Linked DNA regions of Nothobranchius furzeri. The protein of the gene in region 1 interacts with the protein of each later gene in a pairwise test. Links are inferred from orthologs where the notes say so. Each region holds a gene or a part of one and is shown in the gene's direction. Other genes may lie near its edges.

The links.
Region 2: the proteins of prmt1 (region 1) and spega interact in binary tests that used the Homo sapiens proteins (3 or more experiments, as listed by UniProt). The two-hybrid records come from large-scale screens. The link is inferred for Nothobranchius furzeri from reciprocal best matches to the Homo sapiens genes PRMT1 and SPEG.
Region 3: the proteins of prmt1 (region 1) and heterogeneous nuclear ribonucleoprotein R interact in binary tests that used the Homo sapiens proteins (3 or more experiments, as listed by UniProt). The link is inferred for Nothobranchius furzeri from reciprocal best matches to the Homo sapiens genes PRMT1 and HNRNPR.
Region 4: the proteins of prmt1 (region 1) and btg1 interact in a two-hybrid assay, tested with the Homo sapiens proteins (2 studies listed by BioGRID). The link is inferred for Nothobranchius furzeri from reciprocal best matches to the Homo sapiens genes PRMT1 and BTG1.
Region 5: the proteins of prmt1 (region 1) and daxx interact in a two-hybrid assay, tested with the Homo sapiens proteins (2 studies listed by BioGRID and IntAct). The link is inferred for Nothobranchius furzeri from reciprocal best matches to the Homo sapiens genes PRMT1 and DAXX.

What each region holds. Positions count from the first base shown.
Region 1 is NC_091758.1:13,912,165-13,916,352, reverse strand, and holds the start of prmt1 (protein arginine N-methyltransferase 1), read left to right. Parts: upstream 1-1,388; 5' UTR 1,389-1,497; coding exon 1,498-1,530; intron 1,531-4,188. UniProt on the Homo sapiens protein: Arginine methyltransferase that methylates (mono and asymmetric dimethylation) the guanidino nitrogens of arginyl residues present in proteins such as ESR1, histone H2, H3 and H4, FMR1, ILF3, HNRNPA1, HNRNPD, NFATC2IP, SUPT5H, TAF15, EWS, HABP4, SERBP1, RBM15, FOXO1, CHTOP, MAP3K5/ASK1, MICU1 and NPRL2.
Region 2 is NC_091742.1:63,023,329-63,026,840, forward strand, and holds part of spega (striated muscle preferentially expressed protein kinase), read left to right. Parts: intron 1-1,688; coding exon 1,689-3,512.
Region 3 is NC_091759.1:6,952,779-6,957,022, reverse strand, and holds the start of heterogeneous nuclear ribonucleoprotein R, read left to right. Parts: upstream 1-1,438; 5' UTR 1,439-1,589; intron 1,590-2,183; 5' UTR 2,184-2,187; coding exon 2,188-2,344; intron 2,345-2,472; coding exon 2,473-2,591; intron 2,592-2,690; coding exon 2,691-2,798; intron 2,799-2,892; coding exon 2,893-3,006; intron 3,007-4,244. Other genes in the region: atp5if1a (ATPase inhibitor A, mitochondrial), read left to right, coding at 376-488, 578-719. UniProt on the Homo sapiens protein: Component of ribonucleosomes, which are complexes of at least 20 other different heterogeneous nuclear ribonucleoproteins (hnRNP). hnRNP play an important role in processing of precursor mRNA in the nucleus.
Region 4 is NC_091741.1:44,414,672-44,418,813, reverse strand, and holds the start of btg1 (protein BTG1), read left to right. Parts: upstream 1-1,340; 5' UTR 1,341-1,809; coding exon 1,810-1,954; intron 1,955-4,142. UniProt on the Homo sapiens protein: Anti-proliferative protein.
Region 5 is NC_091759.1:22,797,653-22,801,706, forward strand, and holds the start of daxx (death domain-associated protein 6), read left to right. Parts: upstream 1-1,242; 5' UTR 1,243-1,382; intron 1,383-3,312; 5' UTR 3,313-3,330; coding exon 3,331-3,555; intron 3,556-3,745; coding exon 3,746-4,054. UniProt on the Homo sapiens protein: Transcription corepressor known to repress transcriptional potential of several sumoylated transcription factors. Down-regulates basal and activated transcription.

The sequences.
Region 1 (4,188 bases):
TCTCTGAGTGAGGCAGCGTTGTTGCACAGTCTGCATCTATCTGCTCTGGTAGACCCTTCTAGTACCAGGACAGTAATAATTAGGATACCTGAGGTAGGCCAAACACAGGTGCACAAATGCAAACATTTAAGAAGTAACATACCCCACAGGGCAACATGTAAACATGTATTTGTACAAACAGTACACAAAAACAACAAACCTAAACGTATTGTGCAACACATCTACCTGTGCAATATTTTTCAGAGTGAATGATTAGGTCAAAGATTTTTGTGCATTTATTTTAGCAGTGGGTGAACTGGTGTTGCAGGATGGGGCCGATAAGTCAGAAGAATAAAACTCTCTTTTAGTCTGGTGCTTCTGGTTATTGTGCTTTTGTAGATAAAAGCTGCACAGTTTGTGTTGTGGGGGTTCAGTCCCCTGATGATGTTGTTTTTCCTCCTAAGGACAGGTGTTGTAGAAGTAGGCAGCATTTCCAGTGTAGAGTGCTGAGCCAGTGGATTATTTTTTTCTTTTTTGCTGCATCCACCATGGAGCCTGCCTGGTATTCGTTTGCTGAGCTGTTTCCACACATAGCTCGTCTCGTGTGAAGCTGTTCCATTTCCTCTCTTGATGGAGTACGGACTGGTGAGGGCAGGACTTGGCATCCTAAACTTCCTCAGCCTTCTCAGCAAATACAAATGCTGTTTAGCCTTTGGGGCCTCAGGAGAGGTCCTCAGAGAAACTGATGCATACAAATTTTAATTTGTTCTCTTAGTGATGGAGTCAAGGTCATTTGTTCATAATGCACTCCAACTTTTCCGATGTTTGGGTGCTGTTATTCCAAATGTCAATAATCCTCTGTTTAGTTGATATAAAAAAAGATACTTTAAAATAAAGATACCCGTCATCTCCAGTTGGGGGCGCTGTGGTTCTCAGGTGCTGCTGTAAAAAAGCATTGATGCTCAGTAAAAGCCTTCCAAGCTTATAAAAGTCGAGGAGTCTTCAATAAATAAAACGTCCGATTACTACTAACAGTAGGTGGCAGTAAACACCTTTTCACGTTAGGTATGCGCAGACATATTTACGGCAACGCCCCGTGGACTGGATCTGCCGTAGTGGCCATCCGCCATTTTGGATGGGTCTCCATTCGCCCCCGGTGCATTAATTTCTACTGAGGAAGGGGCTAACTCAACTAAAAAACAAATTTAATCGAGCTTTTTCACAAAATCAGGCACAATGTATGGCATAATAATAAAATATAAATATAATTAAACAAAATAAATATTAATTAAATTTAATATAAAATCCCATCAGGTAGGCTAGAAAAGTCTCTGGTAATCCCACGTGATCTGCTTTCAATAGTACGCCGGTTGTTTTAGCCATAGGCAGCACAAAGGAGGCCCATCCAATATGGCGGAAACGCTGTAAATGACGTATGTAAGTCCAGAAGAAGAAGAAGCAGCCGTCCGCCAAAGTAGAAGAACCTGACGAAGAAGAAGACACGACACAAGGCAGAAGATGGAAATGGCGGCGCCAGCAGAAAGGATGGAGGTAAGGACTTACTGGGAGAAATATAGTAACTTCACACACACGAATTTTTAGTGTTGGCTTCCACCGATGTCGGACGTGTGTTTCTTTACCACACACAGAAAAACCGATTTTTAAACGTGGTTTCATGTGTCTGCTGATGCCGCTCATTCATTAGTGTCGCAGTTAGAACAAATCAGAAAAAATACGACAAAACTCTGACACTCAGTCAGTAACGCGTGTAGGTCGTGATTTAAAAATTTCGTTACATCGTGAGTGAGCGGTAATGGCTGAAGTTAGCCGGTGTGTCCTCTGTGACCGCATGGGTCCAACGTGTTAGCTCTGAAGCTAGGTAGTCTATGATAACTGGTTCTCGGCTTTGCACAATGGGTCCAACGTGTTAGCTCTGAAGCTAGTTAGCCTCTGATGCTAACTAGTTATCGGCTTTGTACAGTGAGTCAGTCCAACATGTTACCTCTTGTGCTGGTTAGCCTCCGAAGCTACATGTTTTACTCGGGTTAGAAAACCGCTGGGCTCAGAGTCAAACAAACTTAAAATTTAAAGTGTTTAAACTTCTGTAGCGTTCATGGGAGGGAGACTTAGCCGCTAAGCTAATCTGTTCGGTCTGGAGGTGTCGGGAGCCGGGTGCACGTTGACACTCATCTCCCATCTAACAGCCCTCTGCCCAGTTTACTCCTCGCGATTATTGTACATGTTTAAAGTCAGTGAGGTGAACATTCTCGGTTTTTTTAACGTGGTCAAATTGCTTTAACACAACGCTGGTTACGTTTAACCTCAGTCAGAGTGGACAAGCATAAGAGACGGTTTAGTTTAGACGTGGTAGTAGATGCTGCTGCTGGTTCCTGATCACAGGAGCTCAGGGGACTGGTTCCTGAATCCTCACTAGGACGGAATGTATTTATTACGTCATCTTTGTCCTCAGAGACAGCGTAGCAGCAGCGGTAAAAACAGGCAGACCGGTGGGTCTGAGGTAGGGTTGTCACGGTGTGAAAATTTAAGCTCACGGTTATTGTGACCAAAATTACCACGGTTTTCGGTATTATCGCGGTATTTTTTTAACGTGCTACATTTTCACACAATTAAATAAACCCTGTATGTCAGGAAATATTCTCCACAGTTTGTCTAAATTTTGCCTAAAATGTGTTATTTTGTAATGTTTATTTGTTTACATTGTTTCCCATTAGTCTTTAAAATACAGATATTTGCTACTTATTTTTTGTCTGTTTGATGTCATCATTTAAAAATATTAGATCCGATGATACTCAGTACTCAAGTAGCCTTCTAATCAGATACTTTACCCTTACTTGAGTAACAAACCCTATATCAGGTAAATATTGTCCTCGGTTTGTGTCCTTCCAGTGAGCTTTGCAGATGTGGGAAAATGTCATCAGGCAGTAATCATTGTTAAATTCATAATTATTCTCGGAGAGAGACCAACTCTTATCTGCCCCTGGGAGCCCCGTAATGCATAGCGTCATTTCAACATGGGGTGTCTGCGATAGGGCTGCTCGATTATGGCGAAAATAATAATCACGATTATGGTGACTGAAATTGAGATCACGATTATTTAGGACGATTTTTCAATTTATGTTGATTTTATTTGTTTTTATTCAGTCATAAAATTGCTCAGGGCACAATCAGGACAAAAATAAGAAACAAGATGATCACTAAAAGAACTCCTGATTCCCAGTATAAAAAGACCAATATATTTTTATAGCTCATAGTTTATGACCCAAGGGCTATAGACCTTGGTTTAACTCATTTAAGTCTAACCAGTACAGACCCAAATACCAATATCTTGCAAATACTGACAGCAAGAATTATACAGTGGCAACAAATACATGCAAATAAATTTATGTTCACAAAATGTTGCATAACATTTATTTAGTTGTGTCAAGGTGCTGTAGGAGAGTGCACTAGCACCGTGTCCTCAGAGATTAGTTATTAATTATCAGCGTGAGGAACTTATTTCTACATTATTTATAAACTATTTATTTACAAGTCCATCAGTTAATGTAATAATTGTCCCAACCACAGCTGCACCCCCCAACCCGGTCTCACAGCAATCGGGGCAAACTGCACGTGTGTTTAGCGCGCCGCACACGCACATTTAGCCGTTTTTAGTGGCTCAGGAGTCCGCAGGTGCGGTGTGTGTGTCACTCACTCTGGTTACTCCAACAGGGAGCCGGCTCTGAGAGCTGTTTCTTTAGCGACTGACACATCACTACATCATTCCCTTTCCTAATGTCCTGAAGAACGGTCCGGGGCGCAGGCGGAGTGTTAAGCTAACCTGCAGGAAATGTCGATGACAGTTATCCAGAAAGTAGCTAAGGGTTACCAGAGATGTTTCTCAGGTGTTCGCTAGGTACTTTTAAGTTAAAAAGTCAAGAAGGGTGTCTGAAAAGCTGCTAGAAATAGCGTCAAAGTCGCTAAGTTGGCAACACTGTGAGGAGCGCTTCATTTGCAACTCGGGGCAGCGCAGGCGGGAGGAGCAAATAATCGGCTTGTTTTGTTTTTTATAATCGTTCAAAACTCAGATCGTAATCGTGATTAAAATTCGATTAATTGAGCAGCCCTAGTCTGCGACACGGTTTATATGCAGGTAGCGGCGCTGCAGCTGCTTTATATAGCGACTCGTTGCATTCTCCCTCAACCCAAATC
Region 2 (3,512 bases), on another chromosome or scaffold:
TATATATATATATATATATATATATATATATATATATATATATATATATATGTTTCCAGCTCATGCTATTTTAAATCTTTAAGAGCAAAGGTAGGCACAGTATATGGAAAAATATTACCAATGGCACTACTGAGATTTAATTTTATCTCAAGTAGGTTATTATCGTCAGCCTGAATTCATACCCGGAAATGAAATGGCTCATTTCAGTGAAGCTCCGCCCACACACTCTCTTACAAAATGCACCTACAACAGTGTCTTAGTCAAGTCTGCTGTTGTATGGGCCTTGGTAGTCCAGTGGTTAAAGCGACTGCCTTGGCACTCTAACCACTGGACTACCAAGTCTGTTCCAAAACAATAGTCACCTAACACTTATGTCCTGTGCTGGCTATTATGTGCATCTTTGTTGACAGGACACATGGTTTATCAAGGGTTTTTGTCCCCAACGCAGAAATAATTTGTCAGAATATCCACTCTGATACTGGTCGTGGTTTAAAACAATCATCTGTGACATGAAGGTCACATGCAGGGACAGCAGTAGCTCAGGAGGTAGAGTGTGTTGTTCAGTAATTGGAATATTGCAAGTTCAATGCGAATGTGTGAATGACTGATTGAGTTGTGAAGCGCCTTGGGGGATGTACAACCCTAAGAAGTATACAAATACTGGCCATTTATCATTCTCAAGTGAAGCATCTCTATGCCCGCAACTAGAAGAAAGTGGGAGTTAGTGACCTACTTCCAGGCAAGGCGAGTTTCAATTCAGAGACTAGCTTTGAGGAAAGAAGCAGGGCCAGTTGACGCACTTACTTTCCATCAAGGGTTATCAGGATTTTCAAAATAAATCTCTAAATTTGCAGCTGAGACAGGAAAATACATGAGTGCAGCAAAAAAAACTGGTTTGGTGGTATTTTTCATAAAAAATACCACGTGGTAAAAAGCTCCAAATTGGTGATTTTTCATAAAATGGCCCCTTTAAATACTTTCATAAATATTTATTTTAATCCTATAATGTATAAAGTGGCACTATCGTGACCATTCCAAATTATCCTTCTAGTTTTAATTTAATGACATGCAAAAGAGGCTAAATTTGAACTAAACTTTCATTTGTGACCTACTTTGTTTACTTGCTAACTGATAACTTGCTAACTGATCTAACATAAGTCCAGTCATTTAAGACATCTCATGTTGATAAATAAATGTAATGTATGTAACCATTAATGGGGACAAAGAATTGAAACCAACATTTTTCTTGTTTGTGAATAAAGACAGCTTGGGGGGTCAAAAGTACAGAAAAGTCAAAGCCGTGTGTGACCTACTTTTTATGTAAATGAGAAAGTTTAAAAATGCCAGAGAAAATCTTCTTTTCTGAGAAACATGATAAAAATGTCACAATGTGGAGCCCTTCCCCGTCCAGTTTGCTGTCTCCAGTGTCTGAGGCCTTCTGGTTTAAACCAACCAATCAGCAAGCAGCTCATTAGCATATTCATGTCCTGGCCAAGTGGGAAGGGTAAATGGCTCTTTTCACAGCAAGGCTGATTTAGGGGGTTTAGAATGGTCTGTATAAGGGCTCTTGGGAAGCCAAAAGACATTTTCTCATGTTTCTTAGAGATTCAAAGCGGTGACTTAGATGGCTAATAAACTGCATAAAACAAATCCCCTCTCATTGCTACCCTCTGATTTTATTTTTTCAGCGCTCTCTCATCAGCTACAAATCCAAAATGGTAATGAGGTCCATCCCAGAGCTTCTGAGTGACTCATCCACCCATGTTTCCATTGCCGTGGCCCGGCATTTGAAAGAAGGCTCCCCGGCACCCTCGTCGTCCTCTGACTCAGACGTAGATGCGGATGAGCTTCCCTTTGTTCCCATGCCCCTGTCCATGGTCTTCTCTGGTTCCAGGATCTCCCTTAATGAGATCCCAGTGGATGAAGTTGATCTCCCTAATAGTAGGAAGGAAAGGGACCTCATGGGTGATGAAAGAGGGGCTAATACAAGCGAATCAGATAAAACTCCAAATGAGGAGACATTAGGCAAATATGAACGAGATGCTCTTAAAAAAGGATCAAGTGTTGAGTCCAACGAATCACAGACAAGACCAAGACGGGCTACCATGAGGAGAGGCAGCTCTGCTGATTCGGCACTGCTTCTCCAAGTATACACAGAAAAGGAAAATGCAAATGAGGACTTGGAGACAAGTAGCAAGAGTCTGAAAAAGGCTGTTTCTATGGAGCTGCCAAACCGCAGCTCAAGCCCTGGGGCTACAAAGTTAAGTCAGGAGGAATATGCCCTCAAACTGGAGCTGATGAGGCAGCGACTGCTAAGAGGGGGAAATATTGATAAAAAGATGAGCGGGCTGCGGGGACCTTTGTTTGAAACGCTTGGCATGGATGACGAGAGCCAAACTAGATCCCTTGATCGAAATTTGAGAAGATCTAGAGCAGGGCCATCAATGCTCGCCCGAGCAGCGTCATCCGAGAGTTCAGGAGAGGACACACCAAAGACCAACATTTTCCGCAAAACTGTCTCCTTCACTCAGGGAGATTCTGAGCCCATGCCCTTGCACCGTAGATTTGGAGCCCCCTTGGAGATCCCATCTGCCTGCAGTGCAAACATAGAAGGGAAGGCACTTCAAGAGGCGACTTCAATGTCTGCGCTGATGGAACAAACAACATTAGAGTCCTTATCTTCCTCACAGAGAGAGGAAACTTCCTTTGTATTCCCAACAGAACCAAAACTGGACCAACACATACACCAGAACAATGTGAAAAATGACAATGTAGAGGGAACAGACCAAAGGACCAAATCTCAACTAGAAAAGAGAGGTAGAGCAGAATCTGAATCCAAACCTGTTATAGTGGAAGATGAAGAGAAGAACCATGGCAAGGGTGAGAAAGAGAATGGCACAAAGTCTACCGGTACATCTGCATCGCCCGAGCATCCAGCTGTGTTTGCCAAAATAGCAACTAGTGACCAAGCTCCTGCTTCCGTTTCCCTTTCATCTAGCTCCAATCTTCCTACCGTCCCCCGTCATCCAGTGCTCAGAACAGACATCAAAGACATCGATTCAGAGGAAGTCTTTGAAGCCAGGTTTAAGAAGCGGGAGTCGTCTTTGACCCGTGGCCTCCGCAAACTGACCAGGAACATATCAGATGAGAAATCACCCATATTGAGCCGTAAAGAGGTTGAAGGTGGTGAAGAAATTTACAGGCCAGGACCGAGGGGGGCGCCTCTGGAAATGGTACCCAGAGTACTATCGGAAAAATCCAAATCCGTTCAAGATTTAAGAGAAGTGGATCGAGAAGCGGGCCTTGGTCTGATTGGGAGGCTGTCTTTGCAAGCGAAGAAATCAACATCCACCGAGAAGAAAGGTGAGAAACCAAATGGGGGAAAGCAACAGAATGTTCAAGAAGCTGCCATAAATAAGAGGGTTTCCTGGGCCGTTGGTCGGAGTAAGTCTCTGGATACAACAGATCTGAGTAGTTCCAAGACACGGAGGCAAGTGGATGAACTCGAGCAA
Region 3 (4,244 bases), on another chromosome or scaffold:
AATGTAAGGTGCACTCTAAATGATATAAAATGCATGTTCGAACAAAGTCTGAGAATATCACTAATCTGTTTTAGCACCCGAACCGGCTAGTGTGAAATGCATGCTTCAGATTTCCCCTAATAATACAGGGTAATAGAAATTGCCAAAAATAGTTTGGTCAGTATTGGCTGATATGAAAAATATTGTGGTGATGGGCATTTTTTCCATATCGTCCAGCCCTACTTCATATCAAAGAACTTCAGGTGGTATTTTGAGGATTCTCATAACTTAGATTAATTAAACATTTTGATATGTGATGCATAACCGAAAGTGTTAAAATAAAGCACATTCCTAGTGTGAGATTTACAATCACATAAAAATATTGTTTTTTTCCAGCTTGGTGAATTGGGAAAGGGAGCAGGGAAAGGTGGTGGTGGTGGAGGCTATGTGAGGTCAGCAGGAGGTGCCTTTGGAAAGCGAGAAGCAGCAGAGGAGGAGCTGTACTTCCGGTGAGATGCCAGGCATAGTGATAATACTGTACTACTACTTTCATTGTATTGTGTTTTCTTGACCGTCTCTGTGTTGCATTTGTTTGCAGGCAGAAGGAACGGGAGCAGTTGGAGGCACTAAGGAAGCATCATTCAGAAGAGATCGAGCACCACAAAAAGGAGATTGAACGCCTACAGAAGGAGATCGACCGCCACAAGGGCAAAATCAGAAAGCTCACGCACGACGATTAAGGGGGAGAGGCCAACTGTCAATTCTTTCCTGAGTAGAACCGCTTGTGAACATGTCGTTATCACTTGTACTTTCTGCAGGTCTTAGTCATGAAAGGTCCTTCTGACTCATCATGCTGAAATAATAAAGTGATTAATCTTCCTACATTGTCAAAATATGCATTTAATTCGCTTTGGATTTTTAAACATTTGGCTTGGTGTTCAAAACATGTGCATTTGTTTCTTCCAAGATAATCAAAATCCCTTTTCAGCAGTTGGATAAAAAGGAAGCATTCTTTTCCATCATCAGTGTTGTGAACGTATGTTTTCCATACTTTCAACAGAATCTTGAACATCAGTTTAAAATTTGAGAAAATAACTATCTGCATACAGATATCGTGCATTTTAAGTAGAAGTAAAATTACCTGTTGCAGTCACACTGCATGTTTTGTTTTTTAGTGTAAAAGTACAACAAAACGAGGATAATTCAATTAAACAGACAAAATACAAATGGACCAGAAAATACTCATGAAATCACAAAATTGATTCGTTATGCTGCGAAATGAATATAAGAAGTCGGGATCACAACTTCACCGCAAGTATTGCCTGCTAATACGTAGTTTTTCGTTTTATTTTTGTTCGTATCTGCGAAACAGAAACCACGGCAGCCATGATTCTCATGAAACCCCCTTCAATGATTTCTCGTTCTGGTCTCGCGATATTTGCTGAGCGGTTGCGTTGTTCGGGCGAGCCGACGACGAGACCGTTGGTGTCTGGAAAAATTGTCTCGTGGTAGAGATATAAGTACACTTTGTTTGGGCATTTTCGTTCGTTAATAAAATTAATAATTTCGCGCGCTAAACCACGGTGTAATTGGCTTCCTGAATCAGGCTGGTAAGTTTTGCTAACTATCAGTTTGGACCTTTTATGTGTTTGATATGTGAGAGGCGTTTGTCGGCACCGCGAGGCCTGCGCGTAAGCTTCGATAGTTAGCTTTTTGGCTAACTATCGCTGCTACTTGAAAAGGCACATTTTGAAATCCCCATCTTGCTTTGAAATATAGTCATTAAATCTTCTGTTAAGTTTTAATTGAGTTCGTTTTCTTTTAAAACGTGCATGTAAATATCAGAATTAAACGTATTTATCTGGCTAGTTAGCGGGCTGCATGCGAAGGAGGCGGGGCTGTAGCTATCTGTTGTTTCTTTTTGAAAACCTGGCTATTTTTTATGTAAACGTGTATATATATATATATATATATATTATATCTCATCCTTCATTTAATAGCATATACAACAATTTTAATTAATTGAATTAGCAAATGTCAGCAGTTGCGATCAAAAAGCAAGAAATCTATGAAGTGAGAGTATTTTTTGTTTGCTACAGGCTGAAAACGCAAATTATTATATGATCTCTAGATTTTATAAGTAAAATAATTACGCAAATGCAGATTAATCAAAAGACATGTCTCTCTTGATTGCTATATTGCAGAGGAATGGCTGCTGCTGAGGTGAATGGGAGTTCTGCTCCATTAAAGGAGGAAGAAGAGCCAATGGATGTGTCAATAACACACACAGAAAACTACCAAACACTACTTGATGCTGGGCTGCCTCAGAAAGTCGCTGAAAGTCTAGATAACATCTTCCAGACAGGTCAGTAATCGCTCCAAAATGAGCTGCTAAATTAAAATATATATATATGTCTCCAAATTGTTTGACATTTTGTTTTATATGTGTGTGTGTGTATGTGTTTTTACATATGTATATAAAATTTACTGTAGGCTTGGTGGCTTATGTTGACTTGGACGAAAGGGCCATTGATGCTCTGCGAGAGTTCAATGAAGAGGGAGCGCTCACGGTGCTGCAGCAATTCAAAGAGAGTGACCTATCTCATGTGCAGGTATTCATGTTTATAGGTAACATTTTAATATTTGTCTGAAGCTGTGATTGTATCCAAAGTGCTTTATGTTTCATTTGTATTTATATAATTTTTTTGTAGAATAAAAGTGCGTTCCTTTGTGGAGTCATGAAAACATACAGACAGAGGGAAAAACAAGGAAGCAAGGTACAAGAGTCCACCAAGGGTCCAGATGAGTCCAAAATAAAGGTGAATTATTTTATGCACATTTGTATGAAATGTTAAAAGTGAGCTTTAAAGTTAGATCTGAAACTAATGTTTAGTTATTGTTTTTTGTTTTAAGTCTCTGTTGGAGAGGACAGGATACACTCTGGACGTGACTACAGGGCAGAGAAAATATGGAGGCCCTCCACCTGAGGACGTATACACAGGCTCACAACCAGGGATTGGAACTGAGGTAGGAGTGCTTCATATATATATATATATATATATATATATATATATATATATATATATATATATATATATATATATATATTAGGGCTGTAGCGAAGCCTCGACGAAGTCGACGGCTCGATTCTAAAAATTTGTCGACGTCAGATCCGGAAGTCGACGCACCGCGCCCACTTTTTGCATCCCCAGGAGTTTGTAAATAGAGGAGGAATCTGCCTGTTCTTCCTCTAGTTCGCCCTCTTCTCCGCCTTCACTAACATCTCCGCCAAATACCGAAGACCCGGAACAACGTCCGTCCACTACTAGATTATTTTCCTGTTTTGCCCCTTCGTCTCCCGGCAACGGACAACAACTTCCGGGGTCAGATGCGCTGCTTCGTGTCTATCGCAGATGTAGAAAATCACCGGGAGCGCTTCTCCCTTCATTAAGGAGCTTCTTTCAGACATGAGGAGAGCTGTTTTGGTGGTAGCAGTCTCTCCTCCATGCTGGTCTGTTTGCTGCTGGGTGTTTTTGGTTTATTTAAACTTGGTAACTTGAACTTAATGTTGGTAAAGCTACTGTTAGCATCTTCGCTAACAGCTTCTTGCGTTGGGATAAGCTGTTACGTTTTGGTTTAGAGTTCATATTTTTTGTGGTGTAGATCTCCCTTTTATTACATTTAGAGTGTTGTGGGTTTTCGGTTTAGTGTAAAATATCACCTGAGTTTGGTTTAACCCGTAAGACCACTCGCCTCACGCACATAAGTGACCAAAACAAAGCAGCATGGAGACACTCCATCTTCTACCACCTCTCAGGCAGCAGCCTGCACTCCCAAGTTCTACACGTCATCAGAACATAACCAACCAACACAATAAACACAGTGTTATACAAAATGGAAGGCCTGTAGTGTTTATTCTCTTACAGTAAGAATTTATCAATTCTTTTTGAGGAATTTATTTGAGATTTTCTGGTTTTTGTTAATTGTGCAATAGAAAAATAATCATTAGATTAATTTTCTAAATAGTCATTAGAATAGTCGACTATTCGATAAAATAATCGTCAGAATAATCGTTTTAAAAATAATCGTTTACCCCTAGCCCTAATATATATATATATATAAAGTGATGAAATTTTCTGCAAACTCTGTTCATACATGGTGACCAAAATGCAGCAGAGCTTTGATCTTAATTATAACTAAAATATGAAAGACATTTGAAAATGTGCCCAAATTGTTAATCTAGTGATTTCTGGAAATGGACTATT
Region 4 (4,142 bases), on another chromosome or scaffold:
AAGTTTATTATCAAATAGTAATATAATAATAATAATGTGTTGTTACCCTCATTGCATTCTGATTATGAATCATTTCTCTGTCCTTTTCAGAGGGTTGGTGAAAACATCCCCATTCATAACAACGCTGAACTAAATTAATTGGAAAGAGACAAGAGTCGAACCCTGAGGTCGGACATCCTCGTCCATTTTCATACTTAACAGAAGAAGGTGTCAGTGCTCCTGTTTTGTTTCTGTATATTGGTGATATGGTCTGTATTTGTAAAGCACTTTCTTAGGTTTCTACGAGCTCCCAAGGCGCTTCACACAAGTAGTTATTCACACATTCACACGCTGGTGGGGATGAGCTACGATGTAGCCACAGCTGCCCTGGGGCGCACCGACAGAGGCGAGGCTGCCGAGCACGGGCGCCAACGCTCTCTCCGACCACCACCAGCAGGCAATGTGGGTTAATTGTCTTGCCCATGGACACAACAGCAGCATTATCTGGTCGGAGCTGGGATCAAACCTGCAACCTTCTACTTGAGCCTACTGGACAACCTGGTCTACCTCCTGACCTACTGCTGTCTCAGTTTGTTGGAACTCATCTTTCTGTTTAAATGTCTCTAAAGTCAAACTTTTGTTTTGTCAATTTGTTCAAATTTAAGAATATTTTTGCTAAAATAAGTCGATACTCAGTTCGTTCAGTTGAAAAATGCGATAATTGTCAACAAGTGTTTGATTTGAGAGTGATGATGTACTAAACTACAGAAAACGGCTTAGGCTTCTGGGGAGTTGTTGCCATCTTTGGGTCATCAGAACGGGCCTTCACCCGTGAGCGAGATGTTGTCCTGGCTTTTATTCTGGAATGAAAAGAGTGGTTTTATTTGTGATCATTCTTCCTTTCATGATTCCTTCACTGTGTGTGGTTTACTTTTCCTTTAGAGTCAGCTAAGTTTGCATAATGTTCTCTACTACCATCTGAAAACACGAGACTCAGGATTGGATCATTGTCTGATATTTAAGTGTTTTCTGACCTGAAACGTCTAAAAAGCAACAACAGAATAAATCTGTGTGGAGACCAAAAACTTTATTCACCTTCAAAAACATCTTGATTGAAAACAGCCTGAATTTTTTTTGGGTTCGAGTGCTTTTTTCACAGCTGCTACCTCATCGTGTTCAGTTTTGTCCAGGAGAAACGACTATAGGAGATGTTTGTCATAAACGTATCAGTGTGTAAACACAGCAGCGATCGTCCATCTGTGGGCAGCGTGGTGCTGTTTTTTTATTCGTTCCTGTGCTTTTCTGCTCGCTTTTGTTTCCTCCAGTTGCAGCTTTTCCGACAGCACGGAAACGCACCATCATTTCACGCCGAGCGCCTCTGTTTATTTTGGGCTCGATGACGCGCACTCTGCACTCCTCCTATATGCGGCTCGTCAGTGCGTGTCTGGGCCTCGGATTGGTGAGCTGTAGTTGCCGTAGGTTTTTGTGACGGAGATGTAGGGAGGAGGAGGTGGGGGGAGGGGGCGCAATATAAAAACCTCTCTCCCCTAGCGAAAGCTCTCACTCTGGAGGAGGAAAGTGACGAGCGAGGGTCGACGAGGGTTCCCTAAACCTCCGTATTTACTAAAGCCAGGGGTCTACCCCAAAACACGGTACCGTCCCCTAACGCGGACCAGCCAACGAACACTTTCCTCTACCTCAAGTAATAAATGCCAAGAGAAACCGGAGCGCCACCAGAAAAGGATCGAAGCCCAGAATCGAAAAGGAACGCAAACAGTCGGACAGCAAAAGCAAGAAAAAGCGCACGGATCGTCGCCGTGGCACTTCTCAATGCATACCCTTTGTGCTCGGGGAACGATGAAGCCAGAAATAAGCGCCGCCGTCGGATTTCTGTCGAGATTTCTGAGGGTAAAAGGACACATAAACGACCGACAGGTCCAGACGTTCAACCAAAGCTTACAAGACATTCTGTCAGGTAAGGAAAGCACTAAATGATCCAAATGCGCACAAGAGACGCGCGTAAAAAACAAACTAATGGTTTTACACATCTGTTTAGGTGAAAAGTGGCAAAAATTGGCTTCAAATGGATTTGAGAAGAAGCCTTTCTTTGTTCTCTCAAGTATCATTATCAGCGCGACGGAGGCGCGCCACTGTTTGCGCTCGTCGGAGATAAAACATCACATTTTGAGCGCGCGGGGTAATCCGTCGACGGTTTGGCTAATTTAGACCATTTTCGGTGTTTTAAACTGAAAAAATGAATGAATCTGTTGTTTGGGTCTATTTGGGTGGGGGTGGGGTGAGAGAGGGGGGAGAGAGAGAGACGCTCAAACGAGGAAGTGCGCCTCGCTCCACAGATCTGAGAACACAGGCGCTGAGCAAAACAAGCTCAATTACGTAATGCTCCGGACGGAGCGGGTAAACATGTCCACTCCTCCTATAAAGAGAGTTTATAACCGCGTAAAACGTCTTTTGATTCCACTCACGTGTTTTAATAAGTTTTAAACGATTATGGCCTTGTTTGAAAACAGTTACAGCCTGCTTCTGATTCTAGTTTGCCGCATTTTTGTTTACGCTGTGTATTCACAAGATGTTGTTTTTTATTGCGTTTCTTCCTTTTATCCTTTTTTAAGAATTTGCCTTTATTTTTACACGGTTCTAAAATGAGGATAACTTTGGATTTTTACAGCTTATTTAGAGCAGAAGCAGCTTTTTGCGCCAAAATACTCTTGAGCTAAAAACTGTAGACAAATAAATAATCTGAGTTAAAAACTGTAGACAAATAAATACTCTGAGCTAAAAACTGTAGACAAATAAATAATCTGAGTTAAAAACTGTAGACAAATAAATCTGCCCCATCCCAGTTCCACGCAGATGCAGCTGGCCCAGATAACCCATTATTGTTGTTTATTAATATGTTTGCTTGGATCTAAGCCAAGCAATTGAAACAACTGATGGTTAAAATGGGTCAATAATAAAATGTTTTGTTTTAGGACTTATTGTCACATTGATGGATGATTATCTGTAAACATCTGCAAGTGTTTTTTTTTTTTTGTAAACAAAGTTGGAGGCTGTGTGTGTGTGTCGGGGGGGGGGGGGGTGGCGGTAGAAGAGAGAAAAGTGGTGTCTGATACAAGCTTGTGTGTATTTATCATGTAATAAACAAAGTGAGTTCACTCCCAATCACATTCAAAGCAGAGGGTGTGTGTGTGTGGTTGTTCTGTCTAAACTGGGTCAAGTAGAACTTTTTTATGTTTGGAATCCTTTTGGCCATTTGCCATTGTGTCTAAAACCCTAAGGCCCCGGCTCTGGTGCTCAGCACAGACAGGCAGGGAGACGTTTTGGCCCTTGGCCATATTGCAACCTCTAAAGTTTAGTTCTGAACTATGTCACTCTGACAGGAAGTGGCTTCAGGTGAACACACAGCACGCTAAAGGTTCCCCAGTGTTCGAGGTTGTCTCCCAACGAGTAAACAATCTGCTTTGGTTAAACTCTTTAGGTTAAGCACACAGTCGTCTGCGTACTTCCTACGTCCGTTCCACCCCCTCCTCCAACTGTGTGCCCTGGTTTTTAAGAATAGGCCGCGCTGAGCCGATCATTTCCCAGCTGCTCCAGGGTTTGTCGGCAGCTGCCTTTGTGGCTGAGGCCGCTCTTTCATGAATGCCAGCCCTTCCATTAGCTCGGCAGAAAAACAGCCATCTGTGATGAGGCTGGGAGTGGGTGGGTAAGGGGTGGGCTTGTTATTATCCCATGGTTGCATACAGGTGGCCTCCGGGCCTAATGCTGGCCTACTTCCCCCAAACTCCCCCCTTTTTATGGCTACAATACAGTCCCAACCAATGGGGATTCAGCGTTGATGAGCCTTGGCAGAAAATGAGTTTGCTTAAAGTGAGGTGGTTGGTAAATGAACGGGTGAGGACAAAGGGGATTCAACGTGTCCCAACTGTCCAGGGAATAAAGACGAAAAGGTGTCTCATTTGCTCCGGAGTAACCAAACTGTTTCAGTAAAATGAATCATCGACAACCTGAAACTGATGACCTTCCCCTTTAAGAAGTGGAGCTCTTTGTCCCAAACGGCCACCCGGACACATTATGTATTTTTATCCTGTTATGGGGCTGTTTGACAGGCCGGGGGGGGGAGTTGCACAGTTCCATGAATGCCTGTT
Region 5 (4,054 bases), on another chromosome or scaffold:
TACCAGAAAAAAATATTTATTTGGACAAGAAATCTCAATTTATTGGAGACAGTAAAATTAATTTAAAATTCTCCATAACTTCTAATGAAATGTGACTTTTGTAAGTCTGAAAAGTCTTTTGTGTATAATTCTGCATAGTTATGAGTCAGGGGTTGTGTTGGTGGAAACTTCACTAAAATAAAGACTTTTATGGGGAACAAGCATCTAATTCTGATCTTTGTGAAGAAAAAAAATCCATTTTAGTAGCAATTCACATAGATAGAAGATATGAAATTTGTTTTTTTCAATATGATAAACTTGTGGGATTAGGAATGATCCAATAGGCATATTTGTGATAAATTAGTATTTATGTTAATTATAGGAATTGTGATTGTAGTTTTAATTTTATGTAAATAACTTTAAGTGAGTTTAGAAATTTAAAACACCAATTTAGTTCATCTGATTAAAGATGTTTTACCTCAATAAAACCTTCTAGGAGATGAATTGTGCCAACTAGAAAAGTAAATTCAATAACAAACAAGTACCATTAGAATTAATGGCGCCACTGATATTTAATAATATAAACCAACACTTCTGGAATATTTCAACAAATTAAAAAGCAGTGTAGCCTTTAAAAACACATAAATTAGTTTGTTGTGCATCTCCTGCAGAATTGTTTAAACAGCAGCTGCCTTGTGTCAGAGCCTGACTAGAATGTTTGCATAAATTTAAGGAAGTTTTGCACAAGCTGACACAAATATGTTTGTAGCTGAAAATAAACACCACAGACATTTCAGTTGAGACATTCAGGACTAAAACATTTAATGAGAAAGATGTAATTAAAATTCTGCAGGAAATTCTGCATGAAAAGCAAGTTTTGGTCTCTGTTGTCATCTGCTTTATAATTTGTAGAAATATTCCACTTAAACGCTTGCATTTATTTTAACTTGTAGAAATTCGGCGTGGAAAACAAACTTCTTGGAGACCTCTATCGTCATACATGTTTCCAGCAGGTGGCGGTAAAAAAAAAGTTAACCAGAAAATAAACCAGAGAAAAAGACACATTCCTTTTGTCCAATGACAGAAGGCTTTACTCATCCCAACGTGTCTTTTGACCAACCAGAGTCAACTACGTGCGTCGGAGTTTAGCGGGTCGCGAGTTAACAATTTAGCTAAGTCTAGAAGCTTTTTGTGAGTAAACAGGAAGCCTCATTGGGTTAAAACTAGAATTAAACAATAGTTTATTTTGTTTATTATCCAAAACAAACAGACTAAGACCAATTTTCGTGTTAACCATAAAAATAAACATGATTACTTGTTGCTAATGCTAACATCAGCTAACCAGCTGCGTTGTAACCCGCAAATGTTCTTTATTTTCTCATCGAACTGCTCTTAAACAAGAGGTAAGTGTTTTTGGTATTTGTGGTCAACTGTCTGTAGCTCTTATCTATTTTAACACAAGATCAGAATTATCTCAGGTTTACTGGCGTTTCAGTTTCGTTTCTGTCCTTTAAAGCTAATAATTTCGCGGGAATGTAAGTTAACGTGTTTAACAACATGTGCTTTGATGTTTTAGTTAACAGCGACAGTGTTTTACTATTAAAGCAAAGCACAGAAAAATGTTGTTATTAAAAGCTAATTCTCGTTTCCTAAGAGGTCCTTAATTAGAAATGTTTGTTTCTACTAAAATAATCCCAAATAATCCAATACTTTATAATAAATTATTCTTTAAAGCATTTATGTATTATGATTGGGTTAGGGTGATTATGTTTTAACATCTACATTTAGGCTAAATATGACATCAACATTATTTCTACACACAAACGTTTGAAATCTTTGGAATGTCTAATTTTATTTTAATGTTTTCAAAATGCCTGAGAGTGAAACTGAAATGGACATAATCTACTTTTATGAGACATACAAGTATTTTGTTTTGATGTAATGTTTATGAATATTTAAATCACTACTGTAAGATGCTGGGAAGTTAGAGATACATTAATTGAATTATGACTAAATATAAATATTATTATTAATAATCATAGGGAAAGGGTGGCTTGCCAACTCCGGGTCGGGGGAGAGGTCCTACCTCAAGTGGAGGAGTTTAAGTATCTCGGGGTCTTGTTCACGAGTGAGGGTAGGAGGGATCGGGAGATCGACAGGCGGATTGGTTCGGCATCTGCAGTGATGCGGACGCTGAGCCGATCTGTCGTGGTGAAGAGGGAGCTGAGCCAGAAAGCCAGGCTCTCGATTTACCGGTCGATCTACGTCCCAATCCTCACCTATGGTCATGAGCTTTGGGTAATGACCGAAAGAACGAGATCACGGATACAAGCGGCCGAAATGAGTTTCCTCCGTAGGGTGGCCGGGCTCAGCCTTAGAGATAGGGTGAGGAGCTCGGACATTCGGGAGGGACTCGGAGTAGAACCGCTGCTCCTCCGGATCGAAAGGAGCCAGCTGAGGTGGCTTGGGCATCTGGTCAGGATGTCTCCTGGACGCCTCCCTGGGGAGGTGTTTCAGGCACGTCCTGCTGGCAGGAGACCCCCGGGTCGACCCAGGACACGTTGGAGAGTTTACATCTCTAATCTGGTCCGGGAACGCCTTGGGGTCCTGCCAGAGGAGCTGGTGGAGGCGGCTGGAGAGAGGACGGTCTGGAGCTCCCTAGTTGGGATGCTGCCCTCGCGACCCGGATAAGCGGAGGAAGACGACAACAAATAATCGTTATTTTACTGAATTAAAAACCTTGTAAAAGTTCTGAGATGTTTTATCTGCTCTTTAGTCTGAAGTCTGTTTATAAACCAAAAAACCTTCAGCAAACCTTATTTACACAATTACATAAATATATTTTATTTATCTGTTTATAAATAATTTGAACATTTTCTGAGTCAGAGCTGACAAATCCAGTCTTCTGATCAACACGAGTGAAGTAGATCCTCTATATGTGGCTTGTTGTGAGATGCTGCAGCTGTTGTTGTTGTTTACGTTTTCACTCACATCCCAGAATGCAATGCAAGTCTGATAACAGGAGGGTGTGGGCCTCAAAGCTGCAACCTTTTGAGGCCACCTCCTTCATCGGGTCTCAGAACTACACTTTTGTTTTGCACCCTAAAGAGAGCTGCACCAAGCAAGGAAGCGGACCAGCGTTGAATATAAACAGCCGAAACGTCACACGTTCTCTTAAATATGCTAAAAGGGTTTAAATCACCAGAGATATTAACAAACGACCTCCATACAACTCTAGAGGTTTACAGAGAACTCTGTCACTTCCTAACCGTTATCGATGATAAACTCGCCGCTCTGCTGATCTCCTTCATCTCGTTTGGGTTTTATAAACAGAAACAAGCTGAACTTGGGATGGCGGTGGCTCCTGCCTCATTGGCAGATCAGATCATTGTGCTTGAAGATGATGAACCTGCGTGTTCCTCTGCCACCTCCTCCTCCTCCAAGCGACAAACCAGTAACGTCTCTCCAGCCCGCCGTCAGCAGCAGGCTCCCACACACATCGTCCACTCTCCTTTTGCTTCCAACAGGAAGAGCGTAAACGCTCTGCAGGCAGAGAACCAGAAGCTGTTCAGTGTGGTGAGTTTATATATATATATATATATATATATATATATATATATATATATATGTATATATATATATATATATATATATATATATATATATATATATGTATATATATATATATATATGTATATAGTTTTATTCTCTAACAAAACCAGATTCACCAAACGCTTCATCAGGTTCCTTTCTGCCTTTTCTCCAGTTTTTGGAGCACTGCACGTCTCTCACTAAGGACTGCCCAGAGGTCTTAACCTTCCTCCAGACCAAGCACGCCAAGGCCAGCGCTGAGTTCCTGTCCTCCGTGGAGTTCAGGAACACGCTGGGACGATGTCTGACCCGCGCTCAGGCCAACAGCTCCAAAACATTCGTCTACATTAATGAACTGTGCACCGTGCTCAAGCAGCACAGCGTCAAGAAGAGGCCGGCCCTCAGCCAGGCGGAGCCTTCTGCATCGACGTCGGGTGCCACCCGGTCTGCTCCCGATTCACTCCAGAGTAAAACTAAAGTGGAG